4 linked regions of the Arabidopsis thaliana genome follow. The protein of the gene in region 4 purifies or fractionates together with the protein of the main gene of each other region. This does not show direct contact. Each region holds a gene or a part of one and is shown on either strand. Other genes may lie near its edges.

What was found.
Region 1: the proteins of SMAP1 (region 4) and CSN5A purify together in Arabidopsis thaliana (affinity purification with mass spectrometry, with the first as the bait; one study listed by BioGRID). This does not show direct contact.
Region 2: the proteins of SMAP1 (region 4) and GAPC2 purify together in Arabidopsis thaliana (affinity purification with mass spectrometry, with the first as the bait; one study listed by BioGRID). This does not show direct contact.
Region 3: the proteins of SMAP1 (region 4) and COP13 purify together in Arabidopsis thaliana (affinity purification with mass spectrometry, with the first as the bait; one study listed by BioGRID). This does not show direct contact.

Annotation. Positions count from the first base shown.
Region 1 is NC_003070.9:8,107,258-8,115,018, forward strand, and holds CSN5A (COP9 signalosome 5A), read right to left. Parts: upstream 4,805-7,761; 5' UTR 4,639-4,804; coding exon 4,249-4,638; intron 4,122-4,248; coding exon 3,840-4,121; intron 3,754-3,839; coding exon 3,606-3,753; intron 3,503-3,605; coding exon 3,417-3,502; intron 2,891-3,416; coding exon 2,813-2,890; coding exon of another isoform or gene 2,741-2,812; exon of another isoform or gene 2,715-2,740; coding exon 2,625-2,714; 3' UTR 2,317-2,624; downstream 1-2,316. Other genes in the region: AT1G22910 (RNA-binding (RRM/RBD/RNP motifs) family protein), read left to right, coding at 34-266, 356-692. UniProt on the Arabidopsis thaliana protein: Probable protease subunit of the COP9 signalosome complex (CSN), a complex involved in various cellular and developmental processes such as photomorphogenesis and auxin and jasmonate responses.
Region 2 is NC_003070.9:4,606,700-4,614,776, reverse strand, and holds GAPC2 (glyceraldehyde-3-phosphate dehydrogenase C2), read left to right. Parts: upstream 1-3,898; 5' UTR 3,899-4,282; coding exon 4,283-4,286; intron 4,287-4,379; coding exon 4,380-4,409; intron 4,410-4,500; coding exon 4,501-4,601; intron 4,602-4,801; coding exon 4,802-4,917; intron 4,918-5,008; coding exon 5,009-5,108; intron 5,109-5,194; coding exon 5,195-5,341; intron 5,342-5,441; coding exon 5,442-5,502; intron 5,503-5,587; coding exon 5,588-5,685; intron 5,686-5,771; coding exon 5,772-5,914; intron 5,915-6,002; coding exon 6,003-6,086; intron 6,087-6,179; coding exon 6,180-6,312; 3' UTR 6,313-6,700; downstream 6,701-8,077. Other genes in the region: GT-1 (Homeodomain-like superfamily protein), read left to right, coding at 1-277, 541-579, 888-1,022, 1,261-1,491, 1,579-1,778; ST4C (sulfotransferase 4C), read right to left, coding at 7,192-8,077. UniProt on the Arabidopsis thaliana protein: Key enzyme in glycolysis that catalyzes the first step of the pathway by converting D-glyceraldehyde 3-phosphate (G3P) into 3-phospho-D-glyceroyl phosphate. Essential for the maintenance of cellular ATP levels and carbohydrate metabolism. Binds DNA in vitro.
Region 3 is NC_003076.8:4,594,244-4,602,304, reverse strand, and holds COP13 (Proteasome component (PCI) domain protein), read right to left. Parts: upstream 4,438-8,061; 5' UTR 4,336-4,437; coding exon 4,139-4,335; intron 3,957-4,138; coding exon 3,841-3,956; intron 3,741-3,840; coding exon 3,494-3,740; intron 3,358-3,493; coding exon 3,300-3,357; intron 3,213-3,299; coding exon 3,123-3,212; intron 2,923-3,122; coding exon 2,857-2,922; intron 2,704-2,856; coding exon 2,614-2,703; intron 2,526-2,613; coding exon 2,367-2,525; coding exon of another isoform or gene 2,319-2,366; exon of another isoform or gene 2,275-2,318; coding exon 2,153-2,274; intron 1,972-2,152; coding exon 1,899-1,971; intron 1,816-1,898; coding exon 1,744-1,815; 3' UTR 1,470-1,743; downstream 1-1,469. Other genes in the region: AT5G14260 (Rubisco methyltransferase family protein), read right to left, coding at 74-160, 241-446, 608-683, 801-1,166; AT5G14240 (Thioredoxin superfamily protein), read left to right, coding at 4,737-4,984, 5,268-5,411, 5,512-5,717, 5,910-6,082; AT5G14230 (ankyrin), read right to left, coding at 6,530-8,061. UniProt on the Arabidopsis thaliana protein: Component of the COP9 signalosome complex (CSN), a complex involved in various cellular and developmental processes such as photomorphogenesis and auxin and jasmonate responses.
Region 4 is NC_003075.7:7,861,448-7,867,975, reverse strand, and holds SMAP1 (small acidic protein 1), read right to left. Parts: upstream 3,583-6,528; 5' UTR 3,515-3,582; coding exon 3,326-3,514; 3' UTR 3,321-3,325; exon of another isoform or gene 3,052-3,320; intron 2,525-3,051; 3' UTR 2,267-2,524; downstream 1-2,266. Other genes in the region: AT4G13530 (uncharacterized protein), read right to left, coding at 482-1,168. UniProt on the Arabidopsis thaliana protein: Mediates responses to the synthetic auxin 2,4-dichlorophenoxyacetic acid (2,4-D). Not involved in the response to indole-3-acetic acid (IAA).

The sequences.
Region 1 (7,761 bases), on a different chromosome or scaffold from region 4:
GCCTTAATCTAATACTAATACGATGTGCTACAGAACTTATACGGCATGTACGGCTGCACTTCTGGAGGACAATACGGAGTCTATGGAAACAGAAACAGCGGAGGCGGTGGACTAACCGCAGCAGCCGCATCCGCTACTCCTTTTTATCCTTGTGGTGGAGGACATGGTGGGGTCCAGTTCTCTCAACCACAACCATTTTATCATCACTTGTCTTCTTATAACCCTCACCATTACTCTCCTCCGACCTTTTCTATGCAACAAGGTTCGTATATGATAATAGACATGTGTACACCAAAGGCAACAAAGATATACACATACACTAACATTGTTGGCAGTGTGTTTTGTTGTGCCACAGGCGTAACAGGCTTTCCGCTTCAACCACCTCTTATTCCTTACCGTTAAAGAAGCTTAGAGTCTTTGGTAGCTATCAAGCTTCATATCATCATCTTCTTCTTCTCAGGTCAAGAGCCATTCTATGGTTTAAAGGATGCTCCTGGCTAATCTCAGCACTTAGTTTCTCTCCCTCTGCTCTAAAAGCTACCCCATTTTATGGAATTTGGAGGTGGCTTTTTAAGCAGATCCCAATGGGATCTCCTGTTTCAGATGGTGATCATGTCGTATTTGTCATCTCTCACCTTCTTGCAATTGCATCTTCTCGAGAGAATGGGTTTCTCTTTGAGAGATATTGCTAATGGAGCATCATCATCATCAATCACTCATGTGCCAATCTCAAGCTGATGCATGTATCAGCTTAATTAGTTTATGTTGTTTTAGCCTAAGGATGGCTAATCAACAAGACAAAGAAAATGTCTGTTAGGATAATGTAAAAAAAAAATCAAGCACCAAAACAATTTTCTGTTTGAAAGACTGAAAAAACGATTGCATAATTAAGCAAAATGATCAGCACAAAACCCTGCAAGCCTTTTTGTTGCATCAACATGTTTAGTATCTTAATTCTTAAAGACTTAGTCACTTAAGTCCTCAAGTCTCAGATTATGTTTCTTAAATAAAAATGCATTACTCAAATGTCTCTGTTTACTGTTACTAGTGGTTAAAAACTTTGGGGAGTAACATCTCATAACCTCCTAGAATATACTATGCAACACATACAACTTCATGCTTTTCAGTTTTTGAATCTAGTATGTTCATAAGGATACTGGAAATATTCATACTGAACACTGTACTCACATCTCCTCATGTTCTCATGTTTCCCAATGTATGCTTCTCAGTCCAGTTTGACACCTTCTAGGGCTGAAAACATTAAGACGTGGTTGTGTGCTAGAGTCAACATCTTGCGAGAAAACATGTTGTAGCCCATCCATGTCACCTCTCAAGTCTGTCCTCTCATTATCTTGTAAGAAAACACTAGTGGAAAGAAACTCCCTTAATGAAAGCTTAATTACATACAATCTGCTGCTCCCATCAAACCATTGAGGTTGATGAAAATCGAGTCTAAGACACTACCCCCAAACACTGCTTCATGCCTTCCTCAATTGTATCATTTTAAAAATGTCTTATATCATATATTTCCTGGTGTCAAGCATGATGATATAGATGGAGTAGAGGAGTAGAGATAAGATCCTTGTTCAGGGCAGAGTAACAGTTGTGTCTGTGCAAATTAACAACCTAAGCTTGTGTTAACCAAGAAGCTTGAAACATGGACTAGAGAATATCTAAAATCCAAATGCATTTCGAGAAAATGCTAAAAGAACAAAAGTAGTGAAACAAATCACAATATATCAAAACTAATCTCCAGAATAAATTTTCATAATATCTTCTTTGATCATTTGGATCTTCTAGATCCCCAGAAAAGATAGAATGGCTTAAGCTTCGAACTCTCGGACCTTCTTGTTCTACCCAACTATACATTAGACAAGTATTAGGCCGTAAATAGGCCCATTTAGGGATACGCGAAGGCCCAAAAAGTCTTTGACATCATCATGTGGTTTCTTATTCTTGTTTTCCAGTAATGCTGGTTAAGTGAGGATGTCATTATTGATTAAGCCCCACGCAGCTTCTATCAATTACTACTACCTTACTCTTAATCCTACTCAAGTAACTTCACACGTTATCTCTTCCTACCGACTGTTTTCTCGGCCTGATGTTCGTTTAGTAGTCAGTTTGTTCGAATGCAGAAATCTTAATCCGCTTTTAGTACCCTTAAATCGTGGTCTTGTTGTAATGACAATTTCGGTTTTAGAATAGAATTTGTTCGCTTTTAACAAAAGAAATGCTGTTCAAACATAAATGTGAAAAACAACATCCTGATGAATTTCATGTGATGAAGAACAGAAAGAAAAGAGGGCCTAGAATCATTGTTGCTTCAATCGTTGGAGAACATTTGTATGCTTGTGTCAATTTTTTGCACATGGTTCCGTAACAGGCACATGATTACTGTGACATCACGTGTGTATCTGGAATTTGGTTTTTAATACCACTAAATCAAGATAGTCAAACGCAAAAACATAATGATCGATTTATGTTAATGTCATTTAATAACCCAAAGATCTTTGTCTGAAGCAGATACTACACTAGAGATATAGGGAACAATGGGCATTGCCTCATAAACCGGGTCAAACCGATAGTCAATTTCCGCAGCCAAAAAACAAAAGAATAGACCAACTTCACGATGTAATCATGGGCTCTGGATCTGATGAGTCGTCAGCAGACTTCTTGGACTGACGAGCGGAATTGAACAAGATGTCTTTGATAACCTGCACATTGATGGATGAAAGACTTTTTAAGTCAATTTCATGGATCCATTAACCGCAAGGGGAAATAGGATCAGCATTGTCAGATTGTATTTACTCACCTGTGACATTAGTCCATGGACCTGCTCGACAGTTATCTTTGCACTATCCCGAGTTATCTTCGCGAGTTGAGGCTCATCCTGAAAGTGGTCCACAACACATATACTTAGGTAATGTAATCTCCAAAACAAATGTTTTTATGTAAAGAAGATTAAAACAATATCAAAATGAGTCACACAGCCAGAGATAACAGAACTCTAGGAAGCAGACATAGACTATTGGCAACAACTCGTTGACAAATTGATACATCAAAGTCTCCCTGTTTTACTAGTTCAAACTTTAATAGCTCTGTATATTTTTGACTAAACATACACTCAATTGTGAAATTTCAAACCCAGAAAAGGTAAAACATAGTGTTTTGCAGGTAGAGTTTCTATTAGTCAATATCCAGTCAACATAATGCCTAAGAATAAAAAGTTCAAATTTAATCCAAGTTGCTAGATGTTGATAGTAGCAGTTAATTAGCCAAATGAAAAGTTTCTACACAGGAACAAGCTTGAAAAGTGGCAAGTGTATGAGCTCAAGATCATGGTCCAGTATCTCAGACAGTCAATAAACATTGAGAACATAACAAATAATTTTGCTAAAGCAACCATTTAGACAAACCTCTTTCCTCCTTTGGTGACCGGCTGGCGCAATTCCTCCATACCGGGAGTTAGCGAGCTGACTCTCCGCTTGCTCGAGCTTCTCAGCTTCATCATGTAAACAATTAAATGGTAAGAAAAGAGGATATATCAAACTACGACCTGGATGAAAAGTAAATTAACTTGCTCTTTCATATATACAAGAATTTACCCAAGTCTGATATTTGCCCGGCAACATAGTCTCCATTGCCCAACAGTGGGGAAGAAGAAAGAGTGTTCACCCAGTACTTGTTCCAAAGGAGATCCAGAAGGTGACTATCGAGAGATGACTTGAAATAAGTGATGTCCAATGAGTAGTACTGCCACATACAAAAAAAATGAATCATAAGATCGATGATTAAAACCCTCCCAAGTTTTAAAATCGATAAATAAGAATTATACATACCTGTTTGCAATGTACACCAAAGTCCTCAATCTTGTTAAGAGGGATAGTCTGATACTCAGAAACATGATCATCCGAGATCTTATGTCCCTCTGGATATGTTCTGAATGCCCCAATCTCAACCTTACCAGCCGAAACAGTCCTTGTTGGATCAATAACAACAGCTAAGAATGGCTCCTGATACTGTTGGTTAAGCATCTGTGTCGAAACATCAATACCCGAGAGCCAACATCCATACCCAGGGTGAGAGTGATACCATCCAACAACGTTCTCCAACCTCCCAGCCTATAGTTCAAAGTTACAGTCATAACCAATCAATCAAACACTCGCAAAATCTTGCATAAAGGATCCAAGTAGCAACTAGCTAATTAAACAAGGAGCTACAGCGAGAGATGAATAAGAGATATCTTACCAGCTTGCTGGTCTGAGAGTATTCAACCATATACTCATAGGCATCAGACTGAGCATTAACCCTAGTCTCAGTACCTTCAACAGGCAAAGCAAAAGCATCCATAACGATGATTGTATCACCCTCGGTTTTACCCTGCATAAGACCCATGATCTCGATTGTGCCACCGGAGCGAGCGTGAACCACCATCTTGAGAAGAGCAAGGGCTGAGATGTGAACGCGCTTGAAGTAGTTAGGATCGGAGGCCCATGGCTTCTCCTGCTGGATTTTGGCTTGTGAAGCGTCGTCGTAGTGGAATATACTGTCGGAGGCTGAATCGGTTGGTTCCACTGGGAGAATGTTGTTCTCTAGCTCCCATGTCTTCCTCGCGATGGCTGACGAGGAACCTTCCATTGAAATCGACTTCGAAGAGTAGAATAAATCTAGGGTTTTGCTTAATCGCGAGAATTGATTTGAGGGTTTGAGTCAGAAAGAAAGAAGAAGGCAAACAAATAGAGAGAGATCTTTGGGTTCTTGGGTTAAACCGGTTTGCGAGAACAAAACTCAAAATGGATTTACTTAATATGGGATTTGGGGACTAATGCTAATCCAAAACATTAACCATATAAAATTTTTATGGAAATTTAATATTGTACATTTTTTATTAAATATTTTTCCCTTTTTATTTTTAGTTTGTTTAACTTTTATAGAAATCAATGTTGGCAAATCAAAGGATAAATTCCAGTCATTGTATCAACCAATTGGTATAGAAATCAATGTTGGCAACACATAGATTTGGCATACAATATCTTAAATCACAAAGCGTAAAAGAAGAGTAATGCATCTCATGCATATTTCTTGAGATATCCACACATGCATAATTTCACCAATGTAGTAAGCTTATTTTGATAGCATGTTCAACTTATATATTGTGTGAATTATGCTTGACTTTATGGCATAGACGTTGATCTTTAGCTATAAAGTCAAGCTTTTGTCTTCTCATTCTATCATCGATCAAAGCATCTAAATCACTTTCCTCTCTTTTCTTCTCTTGTTTGTGTCAGAACTCAGAGAGTATAACATAAGGTTAGCTTTCGATCAGTTTTTTATTTTGAGTGTTGCGAATCAAAAGAAAAATTAGTTTTAGCATTAGACCTAAATATTTGTACAAGGACACAGTGTAATATTTGTAAAGCAATTAACATAGAACAAATAATGAAACACAACAATACTATAAAGATGTTTTGAGTTAAGGAGAGAGATCATCAAAGTGCTTGCTTAAATTTCTACCGTGTTGTTGTGTTTCATTACTTGCTTAAATGCTTAATGATAACTGCTTTAAAAATATTAGATTGTCTTCATGTACCAACATTCAGGTCCTACATCCAAAATATTATACAAGACAAAGAATTCACTACAATATAAATACGCTAAAATTTAAGAGCAGCCTCAATTATATGCATATACTAAGATTATGGCCGCCCCTGCTATGCTGATACAAAATAAATGCCAAATTACATCATATATCAAAATATTTTGGCAAAATAAAACATAATTGCCTTTAGTTGGATTTTGAAAAAAAAAATGGAAGATCTTCTGAGTTTGTGAGAAAGAAGAGCAATAAAGAAGAAGTTAATGCATCTGTTTGACTGTTACAATTACTTATAAAAAAAAAAGTGGAAGAAAGTTTAGAGGAGAGGATACATTTTGAGATCATGGGGAAGGAGTGGTTGCTAACAAAGTGGTAATAGAATTAGATTACGTGAAAGTATAAAAGTAAAATTTGAAAGTTTTGTGACATGTGGTAAATGTTGCTGTTTTTGAAAGTGTTGTCCCATTTGAAAGTTTTGTCACATTCGGTAAAATTTGAAAGTTTTGTTACATGCAGTTTTGAAAGTTTTGTCACATTCGGTAAAATTTGAAAGTTTTGTTACATGCAGTTTTTGTTAAAATGACGGTTAATTTAGAGGGGGGTGGGAGGGGGAGGGTAAGTAGTTATATGATTTTGATGATTTTGTAGAAGTGTATTCAATCTAGTATTTTAAGTGATTTGTGTAAAATTTATCAATCATGGATTTTAAAAACTCTATTAAAATCAAGTGTTATTGAACTAACGATTTTAAAATTTACTTTTAAATCAACTGTTATTGAAAACAAATCTCATGATTGTAGATGGAATTTGAAAAGATTGTACAATTAATCACATCAACTTTCTTAAAATTATAGAAATCTTTTCAAATTCTATCTAAAACCATGAGATTTGAATTTGTGTATTTGTAACTAAAGAAGTTTTCTCAAATCTTTCAAGATGAATAAGAATCAACTCCACAAACTGTTTTCAATAACAATTGATTTTAAAGTTAATTTTTAAATTATTAGTTTAATAACATTGGATTTCATTAAAGTTTTTAAAATCTATAATTAAATAACATAAAGTTTGTAAATTTTACACAAATAATTTAAACTACTAGATTAAATACACATCCTTTAGTATATATAGATTTGAGAAAGTGGATAACATTTTTTTTGTTGATGTCTAGCTTGAAACAATTCATACGCCCTCAGTTTCTATATCTTTATAAACTTGGTACAATTGATGACAAAAGTCCACAAAATAAGGGGTCATTGGAATTAAAGCGTTACAATCTTTATACCACGTGGTTGCAATATAAGGGTGACCAAGGTATTACTCAAAGGCTCAAAACTCGAATCTTTGAATAGTGACAAGTGGAATAACCTTTAAAGCCAAGTTGCTAAATATTTTTTCTTCCTTCTTCGATAAGTATTTAAATTTTTGTTATGTTCTCGTCCATAAATTGAGTGAATGATATTAGATAAGAGGTCCAAATCATGTATAAAATTTTAGAAAGCATTTAATCTCTCTCTTACATACCTATCAGAAATCGAATATGACCACTTTACTTCTTTTTTTCGTCGACCTTGACGATAAACGATTTATGACTACCTCTTTATCTTAATGATCTCAAACTCGCTTTAGGTCTTTCAACAATTATATGGCGTATCTTACTCATTTATAATGCAACAAATGTCAATTAAAAATCAACTTCAAATTACTATGGAATATCTCAAGGAAACTTATTGTAGAAATTTGGTGGAACTAGTAATCAAACTTGTTCATATAAATGCATTTGGCCTTTTGGGTTCGTTGTTGGTCTAGAGTTTAACGGTTTAGAGATTGTTTTAAGATTTTATTTCCCATGTACAATGAAAGTCTAATACAAATAAGTACTATAAACTAAGCGTTATGATCAGTAGATTATAATTTATATCCTACTATATTATTTGGGAAGTACATTTTAAATGTAACCTTAATTTTTGTAAGTAATTACATAGGTATGCCATTAGAAATAAAATTTTAAAGAGTAAATTAATTTATCTCTTTAAGGATTAAAAAGTCAAATACTAATTTAATTAATTAAATTTAATTAAAAAATGAAATATATTATTAATTTCCAAAAATAATAACCAATCAAAATCAACATATAAGATTTGATATCTAAATTTTAATTAATTTAA
Region 2 (8,077 bases), on a different chromosome or scaffold from region 4:
CATCTCTGGGAACAGATTTCGTCTAAGATGAGAGAAAAAGGGTTTGATCGATCTCCGACTATGTGTACTGATAAATGGAGGAATCTGTTGAAAGAGTTTAAGAAAGCTAAGCATCATGATAGAGGAAATGGATCGGCGAAGATGTCGTATTACAAAGAGATTGAAGATATTCTTAGAGAGAGGAGCAAAAAAGTGACACCACCACAGTATAATAAGAGCCCTAATACACCACCTACATCAGCCAAAGTTGATTCCTTTATGCAATTTACTGATAAAGGTATAAACTTTGGCATCAATTGTAGATTTCTTGATTTGGATTCAGAGAACGTAACTGTGATTATGGTTTTTGTTGCTACTATTTGGGAAAATTCTTATCTGTATCTTAGGCTGAGAAGATACTACATTTTAGAGTAGGTTTCTTATTGTGGTTTTTCAGTTATCTTTAAAGAAGATGATAGTTTTGGTAAATGAATCTGCGTATGTGGATTTTGTGCCTTTAATTTTCTTTTGGCTAAGTGGTAATTTTATCTTTCATTGTAGGTTTTGATGATACGAGCATTTCTTTTGGATCCGTTGAAGGTACTTATCTATCACTATTAGTTTGTTTATTATAGTATCTTGCTATGTATACAAAGAGACGAGCTTTTGTTTGTCTACTGCCTCTTGAAGTTGTCTTTTAAGTTGGTCGAAAACATCTCCCTGAGTGAGCAATAGTAGAGGTATGAACTTGCTTAGTGAAGTGAACATTTGGGACTGAAACAAATAGTAAACATGACTGTGCCGTAGAATTCACAGGCAGTTTCTGTGTTAGATGGTTTAGTTTTGTTTCTAGAGGATGTGTGTGTGTGTGTGTATGTTTGAAAAGTGTATATATATCTATGTTTCAGCTAATGGCAGGCCAGCCTTAAACCTTGAAAGGCGTCTTGATCATGATGGTCATCCTCTTGCAATCACTACAGCAGTTGATGCTGTTGCAGCAAATGGAGTTACTCCTTGGAATTGGAGAGAGACTCCTGGAAACGGCAAGTCCTCAGAAAAAGCTTATATAAACTTAAGCCTCAAAGTTTAATTTTCTATAAGGCTAAAGATATGTTTTTTGAACTGTATGTTTATGTTCCAAGCATGGTGTAATATGTGTAAGAATCCACGTTTTCTCATTTTGAGGTTGCTTCACAGCCTCTGCTCCTCTGCTTGATTTATTCGTTCGGTCTCTTTATAACTGAGTAGAGCTTTTCATTTGTTTCATGTTTATACAAGCAGGTGATGATAGTCATGGTCAGCCTTTTGGTGGTAGGGTCATAACAGTGAAATTTGGTGACTATACAAGAAGAATCGGTGTTGATGGTAGTGCAGAAGCAATCAAAGAGGTAATCAGATCTGCTTTTGGGTTAAGAACTCGAAGGGCTTTTTGGTTAGAAGATGAAGATCAGATTATTCGCTGTCTTGACCGAGACATGCCCTTAGGGAACTATCTACTCCGTCTGGATGATGGTAAGATTAAATTTGCCACTATTCGTATCTTTTGAACTGTGTGTGTGTTTTTTACTGAATTGTCAGTATGCAAAACCCATCTTGCAGGACTGGCCATTAGGGTTTGCCATTATGATGAATCCAACCAATTACCAGTCCATTCAGAAGAGAAAATCTTCTACACTGAAGAAGACTACCGCGAGTTTCTGGCTCGACAGGGATGGTCAAGCCTGCAAGTTGATGGTTTTAGGAACATAGAAAACATGGATGATCTTCAACCTGGTGCTGTGTATCGAGGTGTGAGATGAGGAAATGAGATCACAAAACTTCTTCTCCAATTCTATCAACAGTTATCTGATCAGAAAACAGTCCCCTGTAGATATGATCTCATTCTCTTTATACATTTCTTCTTTTTTTCATGTACTTGCTCAAATATGAAATATCATAACTGGCATTTACCGTACAGACCAAGAAGACCTCAAAATAGATTTTTGGTCTGTTACATTTGTAAGAACAGAACATAAGAGAAGTGAATAAATTGTTCACAATCAGACGAGCGAGTGTTTGTGTGTGGTATCAGAGTCATTCTTCATCCCTTTTATTGTTCTTGTATGAAATGAGTGTGTTCGACCTTGTCAATCTGCAAAGCCAGAGAAACTTTCTGAACTTATACTACTGAGAAAACACTATAATGATTTGATTAACAAACACTAGTATCAAAGAATGTAATTCAACCACTCTCTTGATCCAGGTGAACGGTACAGCCACATCGGTATCAGTAAATGCTCCCAACACAACAAACACACCTTATCCAACCGCCAAGCCGATTAATGTCTCTCTCTCTTACATGTTTCATGGAGACAAGGCAAGCAAGTTATGCTGGAAGCAACTTGTCTCATTATAGCTTGAATCTCCCTCGTGATCTCCTTATTACTTTTCTCCTTTGAGACAGCGTGAAAAGGAGGAAGACAGAATCAAGACAGCATAAACATCACAAACATACAAATGAAACTGAGTTAATTGAAATGTTTATGCATAAATAAACCAACTTCTAGATCTTAAATATCACGTAAGTGGAATAACATTGGTTATAAGCAGATCATCAGGATAAGATTCCAATAGTTAAAGTTTTGCGTCAATAATTGTTTTTGTCGAGAAGGTTTGCATCAATTATTGCATCTTTCTTTCTATCTTTTTTTTTCTTTCTCTTAGAATCGAATTTTAACATATACTTTGATAATGATATATTGTGGTTCTTTTCACTTCACGATTACTTTAGAACATTGTGAATAATGACACTTCAAAATAAAAGGGATAAGATCAGAAATAACATATGAAAATTCCACAAAATCACTACAAATAATTCAGATAATGAAAAAAATACATGTACGTTATGTTATAAAATTCTCAAATATGGTTTTCAGCAAAAATAAATTTGGTTTTTTACTACAAAGTACAAACCAAAGTAAATTGATTTTACAAAGAAAAACGAATTAGAAAATCGTTTTTAAATCATAGAACTTATTCAGTCGAAGAGAATGGCTGACACTTGACGGGTCAGTTATAACTTATAAGTGGACTCTTGGAAATGATCATGAGTTATAGAAAGATCACAAACTTCAATTTATGATATATTGTTGACCTCAGATAATATTTTAGCTATTTATTGGATGTATAAAGATCCATATGAATACCAAAAGAAGGAGTTTTATAACCATTCACCTAACAAAAATGAAATGGAAAAAGAAAAGAGAGCAAATAAGAGGAGGAGAAGAAGAAGACTTTTGGCAAAAGCCAAGAGTCATACCTATTAGTCTATTACATAAGGTGTGATGTTTTTTTTTGCTGTCACATTCCATCTGACCTACCAAAGCTCTCAAAGTGGAGCATCTATTGTGTCTTGGTATAGAGTCACGATTAGATAAATATACAACACCATATGTACTTGTGTCAAATTATAAATATTTGAAACAGTAAGCAACCAGTAATTCGATAAAGACGTCTACAAGCATCTACACATCTAAATTGATTAAAACAAAACACCTTTAAATATAGTGTTTATGAAGTCAAATCTTCACCTTGATTATTCTAAAACAATGGTTGGAGTAATGTTGCTGAATGTTGAGTGAGAATTGACATTTGAGAGTAACTTTCACTATAATGAACTGGATGATAAAGTTGATCCGATAATAATTGAATTTACCATGAATGGTATCACAAGATACATGTATAGAAGACAGTGGTGTTACTTGTTACGCAAAATTAAAAAATGAGCATACTATTGCAGTTACTTTGGATTTATTAAGGAAAATTATGGTTTGACAACAACAATAATACAAAATCTTATGAAAATTAAATAAAAAGAAAAACAAATTTGGCTATTGGCAAAGCTCATTGGCTGTCAAAAGGAATATATACAAAATCTGCTACGTTGCAGTCTTGCGTGCACCGGCCCAGCCCATAGGATTAGAGTATTAAACCTCGAATATTCCATCAGCCTGCGCGTGAATCCAAGCGCCATTAGTTTCCCCAAATCAGTTCTTAATCCTACCCATAAACGATGGGTAAAAATGGTAAATAAGAAAGAAAGTAAAGTACAATATAGTAATATTAATTAGTGAATCTAATCTATTAGCCTTTTTCCCAAGAAAAAATCTCAGCCACTCGATCATATTTTCAATTTTCATCATCACGTTCTTCTTCTCTTTTAAATAACCCTAAATCCTCACCAAACCCAAACCCTCACTCACTATTTTCACATTCTCTTCTCTCTCGATATCATCTAAATCTCTCTCGATCTCAATTTCGCAAAATGGGTAAGCTTCTCGCTCTTGTTGATCTGCGATTCTTCGATTTATTGTTCTTTCGTTGATACTTTTTGAATCTGATCGTAATTTTGGTTTGTGTAGCTGACAAGAAGATCAGAATCGGAATCAACGGTGAGTGTTTTTCTTATCGAATTCCATAAGTTTTTTGGTTAGGTTTAAGTGATTTGGATCTGTAGAAGCTGAGTTTTGAATCTTCGTGAAGGTTTCGGAAGAATCGGTCGTTTGGTTGCTAGAGTTGTTCTTCAGAGGGATGATGTTGAGCTCGTCGCTGTTAACGATCCTTTCATCACCACCGAGTACATGGTTCGTTTCTTCTTCTCTTCGATACTAGTTCGTATCTGGATTTGAGTTAATAGTTTTATCTGAATTTTTGTTAATATACATGATGGTGTGTGCTGTTTATCATATAGATCTGAGAACTTGCTTTGTTGTATTCTTCTTCTATGTTGATTCTCTGTAAATTCGTTTTGACTGATTGTGTATATGGTATCGATTTGTTGCAGACATACATGTTTAAGTATGACAGTGTTCACGGTCAGTGGAAGCACCATGAGCTTAAGGTGAAGGATGACAAAACTCTTCTCTTCGGTGAGAAGCCAGTCACTGTTTTCGGCATCAGGTACATAATCATGGATGATTTTATTATAGTGGTTCTCTGTTATGTTATTGAGAGTTGTGAAATTCTGATTTGTGGTGTTTTATTTTTGAAGGAACCCTGAGGACATCCCATGGGGTGAGGCTGGAGCTGACTTTGTTGTTGAGTCTACTGGTGTCTTCACTGACAAAGACAAGGCTGCTGCTCACTTGAAGGTTTGAACTTGGATCTTTTATATAATAGTCGAGAACTTGTTTATTTAAGATCTATATCATCATCATATTGTTTCATTGTTATTCAGGGTGGTGCTAAAAAGGTTGTCATCTCTGCCCCAAGCAAAGATGCGCCCATGTTCGTTGTTGGTGTCAACGAGCACGAGTACAAGTCTGACCTTGACATTGTTTCCAACGCTAGTTGCACCACTAACTGCCTTGCTCCTCTTGCCAAGGTATCTTTTTCTGTTTCAACCCATAAACTTGTGTAAATTGTTCTGAATTCTGAATTTTAAGTTGAATCATTTCTCTTACAGTTGCAATCTATTTGTGCAGGTTATTAATGACAGGTTTGGCATTGTTGAGGGACTCATGACCACTGTCCACTCTATCACTGGTACGTATTTATATTTGGTTTCATTGGGTTGATTCTTGAAAATATGTATATTTGACTCAATAGTAACTGTTGTTTTGGTGATCAGCTACTCAGAAGACAGTTGATGGTCCATCAATGAAGGACTGGAGAGGTGGAAGAGCTGCTTCCTTCAACATTATTCCTAGCAGCACTGGTGCCGCCAAGGTATCATTTCAGCCTCTTATTTGTTTTAATTGATTTTGATTGAGAAATTATGTTGAATCTGATTTTTGTATCATGGTTGTTGATAGGCTGTTGGGAAAGTGTTGCCATCCCTCAATGGAAAATTGACCGGAATGTCTTTCCGTGTTCCAACCGTTGATGTCTCAGTTGTTGATCTCACCGTTAGACTTGAGAAAGCTGCAACATACGACGAAATCAAGAAGGCCATCAAGTGAGAACCATCAAGGACCCTCAGTCCTAACCATATCATATTAGAATTTATTGGGTACTTACAAAAGATTTTGGTTAAAACTTTTCAGGGAGGAATCTGAAGGCAAAATGAAGGGAATTTTGGGATACACTGAGGATGATGTTGTGTCTACCGACTTTGTTGGTGACAACAGGTATAAAAAATATTGTCTGTAGAGTGATATACAGTTTTCTGATCTTATAAATGGCGAGAGCAAATAATTGAAATATTGGGTTTGTGTTTATAGGTCAAGCATTTTCGATGCCAAGGCTGGGATTGCATTGAGCGACAAGTTTGTGAAGTTGGTGTCATGGTACGACAACGAATGGGGTTACAGTTCTCGTGTCGTTGACCTTATCGTTCACATGTCAAAGGCCTAAGCTTACACCGGCGAGAGTTTGTGTGTGGTTGAGTTCGTACTGTTCTGAATAAAAAAAAGGAGAAAAGAAAACTCGAGTTGTTATGTTTTTTCACTGATTCCATGCGCAGTCATGAGAGTTTGTAGCTTTTGTCTTTTTGCTTTCTCTTAATGTTTCCCTGCTTTATTTACTGAAACCATTGGTTTGGTTTTTTATGTTAATTAAGTTTTTAGTTCATTACTTTCTCGTGCTAACTCAAACCCAACTGGCAACTGGAACATTGAACGTCCTCTTCTCGTATTTTTAATAGTCTATTTGTACTTGAGCTTCTCCACCAAAATGGTTCTTCCTAGTCATATAGCTCACATTAGGTCAATCATCTTCGATTGAAAGCAAAAGTTACTGAGACGGATTTATTGGTTGATAAGCATCGCCACATTGTTTTTTAACGAATCAGCCAAGTTTGTTGAAACGGAGGATCAAAAATTGGAATTTAGTATTTCCTTGCAATTGCGAAGATCCAATTTTTTGGTTGACATCATTGTAAAATGATTGATATTATAATTTTATTTGCATGCTAACTTTTAAAGTTAATAGGAAACTCGTATTTTCAATAGTGACATGTTATTGCATGTGATAATACGATTATTTTATTACTTTATTAGTCGTAAATGAAGAGTAACATGCCACTATTGAAATGGTACTCATGAGATCACACGCTAGTTATTAAAGGAACATAGAAGTAAAGAAGGTTTTTATTGCAACATCAAAGAGAACAAAAACCACACATCAGTTGTAATGATACATCAAAGTTATATATATGACAATGTAACTTTTATTATTAAATAACGCATTCAAGAACACTTTTTCTGCAGTTCTTCACAAAGCACACGCATAATTCTAGAATTTCAAACCGGAACCTTTGAGTTTCTCCTCGACGATCATATCGATTTTATTTACCATTTCAGAGGTCATATAACTCTTCCAGTCACCAACTTGTCCTTTACGGAAATAAGTCTTGTAATCTACTCCACCCAAGGATCCAGTTTTGTTGATCTCCAAACTGCTTAAATTACTTAGAGAGCAAAGTTCCAAGATCTTGTCTACAGTTCCGCTATCTTCCTCTTCCTTAGTGAATGGACAATCCAAGAACTCTGCAAGTCTCTTGACCTGAGTACGAGGCTCCGCTTTCAACTCCTCGTACCTCATGAAAAGAAAATGCTTAGGATCTTCCAAGCTGCCTCGCCAATAGCTCTGTGCATGGTCCCAAAAGGGACCGTGTAGGGTAACTCCGTTGCAGAATGACTCAAATATAGCCTTGAAAGAATAATTCTCCGCTCGAATGATCTTTTCATTTTGGCTAAAATCTCCCCATTCTACTCCCTTGTTGGCATTGAGGAAACACCAAAGTGACACCAACACGTCTTTCACGTTCCTGCACACGTACACTACCTTGCAAGGAGACTTCTTCAAGGGTAGTTTAAGCGCGTCCAAGGACATATGAGTTGAGAACAATCTCGGAGATGATGATGATGATGATGATGATAAGAACTTGGTCAAGTCCGGTTTTGAGCTGTTGAGATACAGATCTAGCTCGAGGTACGGTACTATCTCATGAGGGTTATGAGATAGCAGAGGATGATGATGATCTTCTAACGAGTGTTTTGATCGTTGAACGAGTGCAAATGTGAGTGCTTTGAGCCAAGTCGTGCCCGATTTGTAGAAAGAAGCAACAACTATATCGGTTTCTTGTGGCTGAAAACTCGAGTGTATATTGGGGATTGAT
Region 3 (8,061 bases), on a different chromosome or scaffold from region 4:
GTCCGAGGCCGATGTTTAGCATTCCATATATTAAAATGACAAGAAGAAGCCGAAATCGTAGGTAGCCAAACACCTGAAACAAAGATCCAGCCATGAACCAGACAGTGTCAAGCTCATTGTATTCTCTTTTGATCCCTTCAGCCCTCTCAAGAACTTCGGCCTGAACCATGTTAAAGAAGTTAACCACTAAGAACCCACTATACTAGTTCATCACACGTCCGGCATATACTAACGCAATACCTTGGTAGGACTACCAGTTAGGTAATCTAACTCAGCCTCTGACCACAGCAAAGGGGATTCCGCATCTAACTGACCTCTTCCTCTTTGACGATCAAGTTCTCTTATATAGGGATACCATACTGATTTCTTTCCTTGTTTCTTCTCATACATCAAATACAAAGCTAGACAAGCCAGTTCGGATAATTTGTTCGTCGTCAACAGTTCAGCTGTGTGATAAAGAGAGTTTATATGGCTTCAGACAAGAATCAAAACACCCGTAATCCCACCCTTATCTAAGAGAAATCACAAAGTCTAATCCAAATATTATAGTGCATAACTGATGAAGTAGCTTTATGGAATAGGAAACATAATAGAGAATGTCTCATACCAATAGTCTCGTTTCCCAAAACTCTTTCCAGAGTAACCACCAGAGAATCAGGAACTGAAAACGCCACATCACCCTTCTGTAAAAGACAGGTAATTAGGAAAAATTTACCATCAAAACCCGGAAATTGATACTTGGAATACCCTATGGAACTGTGTATAAGCAAATAAAACTGTTGAAATGCTAAGTCAACCACCTGAAGATCCTCACTAGCAGCAACATAATGTATAGGTTTATGCTTCTGATCATGAGCTGGTCTCTCCTTGAGAATAACCTTGCAAGGTGGCAACCCATTCTTATCCATCCAAAACTTCAAATCCTCGGAGTCATCTCCTTCCTTCTTGCTCGATACTTTGCTCTGCCTCTCGTCTTCCTTTGGTGAACCGCTCGCGACTAAAGTATCTGAGCTCGAAACGCACAAGCTTCTTAGATGAACCGATCGCGATGAAGAGATCAATTTATTGTTCCTCCACCGAGGAAGTGAAGAAACCCTAGAAAGTGGGAAAGAACGAATTGGAAGAGAGACGCATTTCGTATGGAAACATGTGATAACCCCTTCCATCGGAATTATCAATTCCAAAATTCCGATTATGTCGAAACGTAAAGATTCTCCGGCGACGATTCTGAGGATTTTGCTCCGTTCTTCTTTTGCGTTTTCTCAGATTATTTTTTTCATTGAGGATAAGAGAGGGAAATGGAGAAATCAGGTTGAAAACGAAATGGGGAAGATGCGACATAAAAAATGAGTAAAGAAATAAAAATCTACGTGGCGCTTAGCGAGAATGGGCCTGAAACTAGCCCACCACAACAAGGAGTCTATCAGATTCCCCAAACGACACGCAGTTAAAAACGAGTTTGATACGACGCCGTTGAGACTTCTCTAACCCTTGCAAATGATAAAACGCTCGCGTAAGTTAGCACGAGAGATACACGCGCAAGGGGAAAATTTTTTAAGTAAAAGGGAAATAAAAGATTTGAGGGTCCATAATGGTCTTCTCTACTTGTTGGCAATTGTGACAAAAATATGAAACTTTTTAAACCAACAAAAATGAACAAAGAAATCAAAAGTAACATTCTCAAGATTCACACTACGGTTGTCTTTGAGCCAAGTTTTGTTGGTGCTTCTCGACTTTCGCTGTTTACATGGAGAACTTCTGAGGAACAGTATCGAAATCGTCTCCAAAGTCGTACCTTTGTCTTTCCCTTCCTACCTGAAAAAAAGTAGTCAAACGGCTTAGTCAGAGAAACATGGGTTTCCAGGACAGAAGACTAATGGAATATGGTATTAAATTACCTTTCCCAAGTATAAAGGGTCACATGATAAGCTCTCATCCATGGCTAAGAGATTCTTCGACAGACCAATAGTCCTGAAATTTTTATCAAAACACATAACTTGTTTGATGCTACTACTTTCCTTTGGCAAAACAGTCATCTCCATATCAACTTGATTCCAAGTGCTAATTATGCACTCCTTATTACGAGTTTCAACATTCAAGCAATGTTTCCCAAAAAAAAACCATATCAAAACACTTAGTTCTGTAGACATACCTTTGTATAACAGAATCCATGATCTCAATCATCTCACTAGATTTGTACTGCTCAGGGTCCTCCAAGAATCTGACCATCCCGTCTTTCTGGTTGATAAGGGCATGTATCTGACCATCCTGGATCTGCAGGTTTGTAAAGAAAAAAATGATATTGTCCAACATACCAGTTAAACTAATAAAGCTAGCTTCCAAAAATCAAGTGTGGGACACAATACCATCTGAAGCACATGCATTTCCGCCTCCTTAGCATTACCAAGTTGGACCATGTTGGCTATATCTTGAAGCGACAGGGTCAAGTACTTCTGTGTCAATCTCAGAATGTTACGCTTGTAAAGGGATGACACTGCTTGCTTAACTAATCCAAGGTTCTTATCCTGAAAGAGCATTTCGCCCAAGTTATGGAAGGGGATGAATATTTAATATTGGTACAGAAACTATGGTAAATGTTTAGAGGCAATTTACCTCTTCAAATTCTGCATTCCTGGCCACAACCAATGCCTCTAGTTCACCAATCTTCCCGTCGTTGTAACAATTACCCAGTTCAATGTAAGGCTGAGAAAAGGGTGAACGATAAAATCATAAGCCTGAAAATAGATTTAGCTGGTATGGAGTACAAAACAACTGAAATCTTTGGACTGAAGTGAAAAAGGGACCAGACTCCATTCAAACATGAAAAATACAACTAATGATCGGGTTCAAACTTACTCCGGTATAGTTCTTGAAGCTCCTCTGTGCTGCTGTAGAAGCACACTTGGGGAGAGTGTTAGTAAACTGCACAAGTAAAATCAAACAAGATTATAAGAAAAACATCATAAGATTAACCAATGCTTGAAATTAAAATCAGACACAGGATGTAATTGTGAAACCAACATTTCTCAAAAACATACAGTTGATTCAGACTCGTGCAATATGCTCCCATGACCGAAAACTAGATAAACAAAGAAAGTAAAATATAAAGAACACAGCCTTACCTGCCCATTGTGAATGAGAGACACCAATATGTACTTTTTGTACGCCTCAAGAGCTATGGCATTGACTTGATGCATAGGAGCAGTCACAACCTGATACAAGTACTTAGGTTGAGTTAAAACTAAAACGAAAGTCCTTAATGTATAAAAAGCACGTAAGAAAAAATAAAAATGCCTTACATTGTAAAGAAGCTCTAATGCTTTCTGAAATCTCTTCAGTCCAATACAAATCATTCCCCTATCAAAAGTCCAGGTAATCAAGGACCAGAATAAGAAAATACTATAAAACAAACCCAACAGGGATGGATTTAATGTGTTTACACATCTATTGATCAAAGGAAAAAAACAGATAGCAATGAGGAAAAATTGCTTACCCATAATAGCTATAGAGAAAAAAGTCTCTTGGCTGGTCAATCTCCACGATATCATCACTAAGAATGGAGAAACCAGATTTGTACGATTTCGCCTGCAAACAGAGTTGAAGAACATCTGGATGCAATGCAGTCAAACGCTTGGAGGAGACCTGAAGCTTCTGAACAGCGTTTAACAGTGGCCCTACTCCTCGCAACGGATCTCCCAGTGCTATAACATGGTCTTTCAATATCTTACAAAGAGATACAACTGCAAAATCAATATAATAACATCATCCATCTCCCCAAAGAAAAAAGAAAAGAAAACACATTAAGACAAGATAAGCTCTCATTAAGTGTCAGTAAATTACATTTATAGCTCGCCAAACGAATCTGCCCAGCATCACAAGAATTGATGAACCGTGCAATTATCGGTATCTCATAAGCAGCTTTCTCCTTCGACACTGGACCACAGGTAAGAACCTCACTGTAACAATCAAACCATACAAAAAACTCAAAGATCAGAAATCGAATAACATAGACAATTCTCCTTGTTAAACTTCGACCTAATCACACACATCAAGTTCCAATAACCAAAATCATCAATCAGCCTCAAAGTATACACAAACTAGTAACAAAAACCTAATCTACCAATAGGTTAAAACTCACAGGAAATACAGGTAACCGAGAGAGTGCTTCGAGGCGTCGAGCTGGTCAAGAGTAGAGAAATTAACACCTGGTTCGGCTCGGAGCGAGTCTTGAGCTCCTCTCAAAAGATCGTGAAGTGCAGATAAATCCTCTGGACTCCCCGATAAACCTTGGATTGACGTTATCACAGCCTCCACCGAGTTCACAGCTCCGATCATCTTCGATACTAAGACGAAAACACAAAAACCCTAATCGATCGCCCTTTTTCTCCCTCTCAAAATCTTTTGCTAAACTGTTTGTTTAATTATCTCTGGATCTTCTCCATAAAAATACATGCTCTCATAATATATATACGAACCCTCCGAACGGTTAAGAGTCTAATACATTACTCTAGAATAATAAACCAATATCTAACCGGCTTTTAAACCAAATATTCCCGGTTCGAAATGTACCAGATGGTAATTGTCGGTTTAGCCAGACCAATTTCGGGGATGGCCTTTTATCATTCGTCTTTCCAGAGAAAGAACGAGATTGCGATCACAGAGTGTCAAAGCAATCTGCTTTTTCTCCTCTCAGATTCAAAGGTTCTCTTTGAAGCTTCGTAGGTGGTTATACTTTGATGGCGGATTATCATTTCGTGTATAAGGACATTGAAGGAGCGTCAACTCAATGGGATGATATCCAGCGGAAATTGGGGAATCTACCGGAGAAGGCTCCGGCTTTCAAACCTCCGGCGTATACTCCGGCGGAAGACGAGTCTTCAGCTCCTAAGGATCAGGCATGGTTTGATAAGAAGACAGAGGAGGAGCTTGAGGATCTTGAGGACGACAAAGATCTCGACGATGATCGCTTTCTCGAAGAATACAGGTTCGTAGATCGAATCGAACATTCTGATTTTTGTATTTACAATCTTAACTTTCCCTGGAGAATCCTTGCCTTGGTGGATTGTGAATTCAATTTTCTCGGATCTGTTGCCATGTAGCTAGGGAATGCAATTATCAAGCTCTGGTTTTTCTCGATTCGTTTGTGTTTTGGATATGAATGCAATTGAGGGTAGTATCTTATTTGAGATGTTGATGAATAGGCTAAACATAATTGTGCAACACACTTCATGATTCACAGGCACTAATGTGTTTTGATGCTTTCATAGGAAGAAGAGGTTGTCTGAGCTAAGAGAGGCTGCTAAAGTTAAAAGATATGGAACAGTGACTCCCATCTCGGGCTCTGATTTCGTGAGGGAGGTTACGCAAGCTTCTGCTGAAGATTGGGTTGTTGTATGTCTCTATAAAGATGGGTATGTTTTTTCAAGTATTCGTGAACTCTTGTTGAGCCATTCTTTACTACATGCTTGAAACACTATTAACTCATGTTTATTTCTTGTTGTTCTCTGATAGTGTTGCAGAATGTAGTTTGCTATTGGGTTGTCTAGACGAATTGGGTAGTAGATACCCAGCAACAAAGTTCGTTAAGATAATATCTACTGATTGTATTCCGAACTACCCTGATTGCAATCTTCCTACCTTGCTGGTGTACCACCATGGCGCCATCAAAGGAACTCATGTAGGCTTAAAGAGCTTTGGCCGTAGGTGCACCCCAGAGAGTAAGTTTGAATGAACCCTTGTTTGTCTGATGTAATCTGTGCTTATTTGTGTTTGATGATTATGTCATGTCTCATCTCTAGCCTTTGTCTGATCTGAGACCTGATGTGACCACATTGGCGATTGTATCATGCTTTGAGCAGATTGGTCTTAGGCACATGTCTAACATACTTGCAACTGATTTGGTTTTTCAGGTGTAGCCTTACTTCTGTGTCAATCAGAGCCAGTTCTTAACGATGGCAAAGGAGGAGACGATGACTCCTCGAGGGAAGCTGTGATGGCTGGAGTTCGAAGACAGTTCATAGAACGAGTGGTGAAGGACCACGAAGATAAGGATAACGATGATGGTGGTTACAATAGTGATTAGAACTTCAAAGCTTCTCTGTTTATCTCTGTTGGTTATTGCTTGTTGAGTTGGTGACTGGTAAACAAAAGTGCTGACTTCTTGTGTGATGTAATGTTTTTTAAACATTTTGTAACTTTTGTTCTTTTGAAAGAGACAGGAACTTCATGTTGTTTTTTGATATCCAGGTATCACATGCCGAATTTTAGTGCTGGATCTAAGCCTGTGAATCCATGTAAGTTTAGAATAGTCTTTGTTTTGGACAAAGTAATAATCAAATTTGGAGAATCTCAAATCAACTGAGATGTTTTAGTTTTCATTCATGTGCAACTCGAACTACTTCACAGTTCACAAATATACTGCAGATACCAAACCCAAGAACTATAAACATCCCCAACACAATAGAAGCACACTACCTTCAAAATGAAGCTCCCTTTCTCAAAACTTCTTTATATACATACATAAACAACACTAATTCTGAGTCTGAGTTCTTCCACAAATTGTCTCTCTGGTCACAAGTCGTATTCCCCTCACCCACATCTCTGCACACACCAACCCACCTTCACACACAAAATGAACCTCCTTGTTTTCCGTAGTCACTACCCGGAAAATCCCTTCCTCCTCCGCTCCATCGCCTTTCCCCTTACGGTTCTTCCTGAACCGCTGGCTCATCCCGATCTCTACTTCCTTGCACACCACAGTCCTCTTCCGTGACTTTCCCCAACTTAGTACTCCACTTGATTCCAACATTCTCAATCCTTTCCCATGCTTCTTTCCTTTCCCTCCCTTGGTGTGTTTCATCACACTGCTTCCTTCTATCACAAACCTCCGAGACAACTCATTACGGATCACCTTCTCCGCATCACCAGTCGCGAGATCCAGCAGCTTTTCCCCTCTTCCGTTCTTAGCATTGCAGTTTGCGCCACAGGAGATTAGGTATTCACACATATGTCCATGGCCCTCTCTGGCTGCAAGCATGAGCGGAGTGTAGCCATCTCCATCCGGGATGTCTAGACTGTATCCTTTTCCACTCAAAAGCTTCACTGCTTTGACGTCTCCACGCCGTGCAGCACAGTGTAAAGCATAAAACCCGCCTGCCATGTTTCTGCTGTCCTTCTCGAGAGCAAACTCGAGCATCACCTTCTCTATCACGTCACGGTTACCGTTCTGTTCAGACAGAGAGACTACCGTGTCGCCAGAGTTGTTATACAGCTTCACGTCTGCGCCTGCGTAGACTAAGACTCTAAATGCTTCAACGTGGCCATTCATGGCCGCTAGCATTGCAGCCGAAAAGCCTTCCTCATCTTGATAGTCTAGGTAGATGTCTTGAGCTTTTACAAGCGCTTTAAGCGCCTCAGCATCTCCTGCTTGAGCCCCATATAGCAAAGGCGAGAATACTGAAGCGTTGCTTGAATGTGGAACAACACCGAACCGGATCAGCTCAAGAATTACTCGCTCTAATCCAAGAGACCACTTGTTTGACTCAGCGATCGAAACAGCAGAATGACCAAACTTGTTCACTAAACCGAAATCAGCACCATCAAGGGCGAGAACCTTGACGCACTCTGGATGTTTGTGTTTTATTGAGATCAACAGGGCTGTGTTCCCTACATCATTCTTCGAGTTTATATCGCAGCCAAAGCCAACGAGTTGTTGTATGATCTCCACTGATCCGTCACGTGCAGCAATATGAATCGGTCTGAGTTCAATGCCTCGTGAAGTTTTGATAGGAGCTTCTGGATCGGCGCCACAGTCAAGGAGGACACTGACGGCTGCCTTGTTGCCACAGAGGACAGCATGGTGTAGAAGAGTCCGACCGTTGTGAAGAGCGTTTGGAGACTGGAGTTTGAGCAACAAACGCAAAATGTCGCCACTAGTTTCAAAGTATTCTACAGCACACCAGGTTAAAGGATAGGGCTCAGCCACTCCAGCTCCCACCCGAAACTCTTCTCCAGTGTTAGTATCCCATGACCATGCTCCAAGCCTCACCATGATATCTGTCT
Region 4 (6,528 bases):
AAAAAATATGTTGTTTAAGCATTATAGGAGATGAAACAACAGAGAGGACGGACAAAGAAATAGATCACCCAGGTGGTATTCTAACGACTATTAACACTGCTCTCACCAACTACACATTCTATGCCAAAAGTATCTATCAAGAACTCAACCGATGCAGTGGTGCTATATCAAAAACCCTTAGCAAGATAGTGTAAATGGGTACGAGTGTATGCCTGTTGGTGAATACTATGACCTCGAGTCGCTGGTTGCATCTAAACTACTTAGCAACAAGAAACTGGTCCCAGGACAAACAAGGGGATGATCTGATCTTCTCATTTTCCCCATCAAAACAACAATTGACACTAATAAAACATCTAACTAAGCAGTAAAAGTTGAACTAAGCAGAGCTCATATCACACCAAAAGATCATACAGTAACCACATGACTCATGAATCAACATACTCAAAGAACAATAAACAATCAAATAAACCAAGCTAGTTACCTTATCATCCAAAAGAACCTTAAGCTGCAAGGAACGAGTCTTCTTCTTCATATTGTACAATCTACGCCCTAACATAACAAAACCCACAAATGCTGCAGCCATGGACAAAGACCAAATAGGATTAATTTTCAACACACAATACTTCAACACCTCTATTGGAATTTTCCACCACACAAACCCTTTCTCTTCTCCTCCTCCACCACCAGATTTAACACCAGGATCAATAGAAACAGAGTTTCCTTCTCCTTCCACTGGATGAAGTAAAGATTCTTCCTTTCTCTCATCAGAGCTTATCAAATCCATGTCTTGAGCTATACTTTCACTATATTCAACAATACCCACTTCGTTTCTCTCTATACCCATCTCGTTATTCACATCATCATCCACTAACCTCTGATCATCAAGCCGATCACTGCTTGAATCAGACCATAACTCACTAAAATGCTTCGGACCATAAGGAACATCGGAGCTAGGTTCGATCCATCCTGGACTACCCGATTGAACAGACCCATCTTCATCGTTTGCCTCCAAACGAGACAAACCACTCTGGTTCTCAAGAGAGAAATGATCAAACCTAATCATACCTTGCGTGCCATCATCAATCTCCTCCAAGCTCCTCGAATTGTCATCTTCCGTGGTAGATCTCGAGCTCTGAAGTATTTCCCAGTCTTGAATCTCTCCTTCCATGTCAAAGTTAGGGGTTTTTTCGATCCAATTGAGGAAAAGAAACAAAAGGAGTCTTTGTGTTGGGGCGAAAACAGAACCGAAACGCTTCTTTCTCTGTGTGGAGATCACAGAAACACTAGGTCGTGGTGTTAACGTGGCGTGGTGTGATTGGATAGAGGATGAAGTCAAAAGAGTGGTTTCGTTGACGTGTGGGTTTATGATAACTATATGGATTGACAGTGTATGTTGTTACGGTGGGCCGAGAAGTAGAGGACCTTCAACCGCTTTTGCTAATCAGATATGCTCAACTTGAAACTGGAGGGAGAGGAAGCAAACACGTCATATAAATGCATTTTGTGAAGAACATCATAATTTATTGATACCGAACCAAATCCAATAGAATGTATTTTTACTTTTTACTATTTTACTTTTCGTTTTTTTACTTGTTTTTTCTCGTTCAAATTAGGTGATCGATGAATTGATAATTTAATTGTAATCCGCGTAATTCATATTCCTTCGGTTCTATTTTGTTGATTTTGAAGAAAAAAAAAATTGTTTCAAAAAAATTGATTTTTTAAAATTTTTATGTAATATTTATTAGTTTTTATTAATGAATTGTAAACTTTAATAAAAATAATTAAATTTTATTGGTTTAAAGTGATAGAAAATTGTAAAACACAAAATATAATATATTTAAAATCAACTTTAATATATTTACTTTTGTGTGTTTTTTTCTAACAATCAAACAAAAAAAACAGAGAAAATATTTATTTATTTTTGCTAAGAAACATAGGAAATATTTAATATTAATCGAAACCCAACTTTTTTTTCAATAAATGTTTAGCGTTAATATCATAGTTTAACAAACATTCTTTTTTATAACTCAAAATTTTAGAGTTTAGTCATTAAACCAAGATGTGGAGATTTTATAAAGGTTGAGGTAGGGAGGAGAAGAAAGTTAAGAGGCTCATGGATGGTGGCTTGCAGAGATTTGGGAGTTTTTGAGAGAGTTGATGACGTGGCAACTTGAGAACACATTTGTTAAAAGGCTGAGGTGGGTAGTGTGAGAGGCCTCAAATAACTTTTTTTTTATTAGTAAGAGATTCTGAAAAGAGGTTACCGATATCTAATGAATTGCTATCGAATGTTGAAATCTCATGAAATTTGGCTACACTACATACATACGACTATAAGGCAAGTAACAAAGACTGCTAGGGACTGACAAAGTGACAAGTGACATCTTTATGCTTAGCCTCCTTTTCCTTTCTACCATAGTTGAACATCAAGCACATTATTTCCATCTCAAAACCGGCCCAGAGAATATAATATGACACGATGCAACAACAGAACTTGGCCAGGGGAATTATACACCCCCTCCTACATACCACAAGACAGGAATTATACACCCCCTCCCACATACCACAATACAACACACATTCAGAGACCACGAGATGGTGAATTTACAAGAAATCAACATGGAACAAGATACCATATCCATATAAATCATTGACTGATGTATCTGAGTTACATGGAAGATACAAGAGACTATTTCTCTTAGGCCATTAAATTGTTGGTAGGAATATGTGCTTCAGTATGAGTTCCCTAGTTCACTTAATCACTAGTGGAAAGTTACAGCTTACATGAGGATTTCATCTCTCACCGGGAAGTTTCTCTAGACCCGGTGAGTCACATGAATATCAACACAATGAAACACATCAACACATATTTCAGAGACCTCAGATGTTGAAATTACAAGCAATCACAATGGAATATGGTACCAAATGAATCAATTAGTTTCTATCTTAAGCCAATATCAATAACTTTCACATTCTTCACATACAAATTCACAACATTCTTCACATACAAAGACTCTAATTTTCAGTTACTAAAATACCAAAACACTAAAGAAAATTAGGTTTCAATCTCCAAAAAACATCATCATCTCCAGAACCAAGGAAAAAAAAAACATTCTAAATTTGAGCCAAAAAAAACAATCAGACAAAGCACAATAACACACAAATCAAATGTTTTAGTAATCCAAATGAAGAAAAACATTGTTACATACCACAAACATAAAAATCCCAGAACTTATTACACACTTACTACATAGGTTTCTCCACAAATTACATCAAGTTTAGGAAAAAAAACTGAAATCTTAAAGAGGAAACTTAACCGGATTTAGTTGATATCGGTGTCATCGAAATCATCATCGAATTTGTTGAAGAAATCGGCGTCGGCGAGCTTGTTATCTGAGACAAGTCCTCCTTCGTTGAGTATCTCCATGGCTTCGAGGTCATCAACGTCCATGGCCATCGAAGAACCTGCATCATCCATCTCCGATAACATATCCAGCTGCATCGGCCTCATTTCTCTCTTCGTCTCTTCTTCGTTTTCTTCTTCGGGAAAGATCTAAAATGTTACAGTGACTGACTGTCGAAGTTTTGATGTTGAGGTCATTTTCTTTTAGGCCTAAATGTTGTGGCCCATCTTTATCTTCTTAGGCCCAATTGATGTGGCCCATGTTAATTTTAATCGTTCATTTTTCGTAGTGATTTTTAGCTGAATCTGTGGATTTTTTTTTTTTTTTTTAAGATACATCAGTTGAGGAATTGGCTGAAAAGTGGAACTAGAGGAATTTTTAGAATTTTTTTTTATTAATACCATGTTTATATCCTCTATTAAACAAATTTGATTAATGCAATTTTAAAAGCTACAAAAAAAAACTCAAATTATTTATATATAATTCTGTTGTCTGTAAAATTATAAAATAATATCAAGATAGAATAGTTTTCTAGTTGACGAAAAAAAATTAGGTTTCTAGTTAATAAAAATTAGAAAAAACTATCAAAGTTAAAATGTAAAATCAAAGTAATAGTTTTTTACTATTAAATTTTCATTAGTTAGGTCAAAATCAAATTTAGGATTGGGTGATTTAATCCCAGTTAATTCTGACTACAAAATGGTTAATTAATATATATAATTCAGTAGTTGATATGTTTCTGCATACATTGAAATAAATTAAACTATCACAATCGAAAGTCGTAAAATACGATTGATGGATGCGATTATTCTCTCTCGTTAATCACGAAGATAAATCTATTTGTTTCACTTTTACGGAAAGGGCAACGAGTTAATTTGTACATGGTTGTGTTAGTCATATTTAATATGGGCTGGTTTTACTCTTTTTGTTTGCCAATGAGCTAGTTTTCCATTTGTTACAAATTTTTTTTTTTTTTTTCTGCTAAGAATGTAAATATTTCATTGAAAAATGAAAAAGGTTTAGGAGATACAATTAAGTAAATCCTACAATTTTGGTCTCATGGCAAAAAAAGGATAAAAAACATGGAAGCAAAGAACAATCAGTCCATCGACATCAACAAAAGAAATTACTCTTTTGGAATCAATGAAGTGATAAACCGATTCTAAATATTAACTTAAAAGACACCTTAAGGAACAAGAAACGAGCTACCAAACGGCAAAGACCGAATCAACAAAAAACCTAGCGATGGAAGCCTTTCAACGGAAGTCCGAGAAAACTGAGCCGTCAACGGCACACCCTAAGGCGAACCTAAATATTATAATTACACACCCTAAAAGGCGAACCTAAATATTTTCCGGGAAAAAAAACATTGACGAATAAGATTAATAGAGCAGTAGCACACAATATCTTTAGAGGGATCCCATCTTTTGATTAAGATATTCGATAGCATGTTTACAAATAAAAGTAATGTTTTTATAATGTCTCTCCAAATATGTGGTCTTCTCGTGATTAATTCTATGAAACTATTAAGTTCATGGGTAGGTAGGGTTGCTTCAAAGTAAATGACGTTCGTGGTTACTTTTTGAAAGTAATTAATGTATGTGGGATCATTTTCTGGTACCTTAGTATCTTTATGAGGACATGTATGATTCACCGAAGAAATTTAAATAACTTCTCCCATTTTTTCACCTTTTCACTAAAGAGTAAAGAGTGATATACTTTGATTCGTTCTTGTATATAATAAAGTTTGAAACAGTTCTAATCGAAAAAAAAAAATCTTCAATCAAATAGTTAGAATCTATGACGAAGTCGGACTCTAGAATAAAATTATTTAGAATCTATAGGTCAGCCAAGTTTTTTTTTAGTTTGAAGGTGAAAATGGAATTGTTTTCACATTAATCATTGGAATATTGGAAGCATATGATACATTGAATATATTTATTCGAACAAAAAGTCAAATCAACAAGGAAAAATCAAAGTCGTGAAAGTCTTACGGTTTTGTTTCTAGCTGTACGGTAACGTATAGTTATTAATTATAGCCACTAATATTGACTATGCCATTTTAGTATCATTATTGTTTTGCGCAACTTCTTTTCAACTTCAGAATCTGTAGCAACAATAAATGAATTATGAATATTACAGTTGGAGTGAGTCTTTCTAGATGGAGTATTGTTTTATCTTTGCATATAATAGTGTTATGTTATGTTCTTACACAAATTTGAACATGCGGAACAATTTTGCATCTAGATTCTTTATTTAGGTATTGATAAAGAGATACAAAGGTCCAAATTGCACTTTTAGAGACGTCAAAAACTTGGTAAAATCTCTTCTTTCTGACTTCTAAAATACCAAAATTACCCATAAGAACTCATGTATGTACGGAATTACCATTTATGATACTGACAACGATATCACGGGCTCCAACGAAATTGTGATCTCTTTTGTGCGAATCTTATCTTTCTTATTAGTAAAATATTAGGATACACGTCGAATCTTGCGGTGTGGCAACGTGGTACGTATCTCCAAAGTTGTTCGTTCGGTTATCTAAATAATGTTGAATCAAATAAACATTGCATGTAATGACAAGAAGATTCCTGTTCGGTTGGTTCAAAGTTTGTAAAACGCCAAGTTCTGCTGCAACTTTCCAGCATTGAAAATTCCAATAATATATGACAACACAGAATTATTTCTATAAATCATTATAAAATTTTCGTGAAGACATGTTAGGGAAATACGGAGAAAGAGGGGGTGGTTGAGGCTCACACATGAACCAAGCCGTTGTCATCTCGATTATTTTCTTCCGAGTAGATAATGATTATCAATTTAGATTAAATTTTTTTAAGAAATGAAAAGTGAGCATTTTAAATTTTTTTATCTTTGATTTGTTAATGATGATGAATTGTAAAATTTAAGAATAATTACTATTGCTTTAGGGTAAAAAATTGTTAATCACAAAAAGTGATGCATTTATAATCAGATTTTTGTAATTTTGTTTTATTATGTGAAAACTGAAAAGTTTAATACGATTAGACTAATTACAAACAGATATATTACTTTCTTTTTTTAGTTTGACAAGTTTTTAGTTTGTTGTTGTATAAGTAATATGGTCACACTAGCTAAT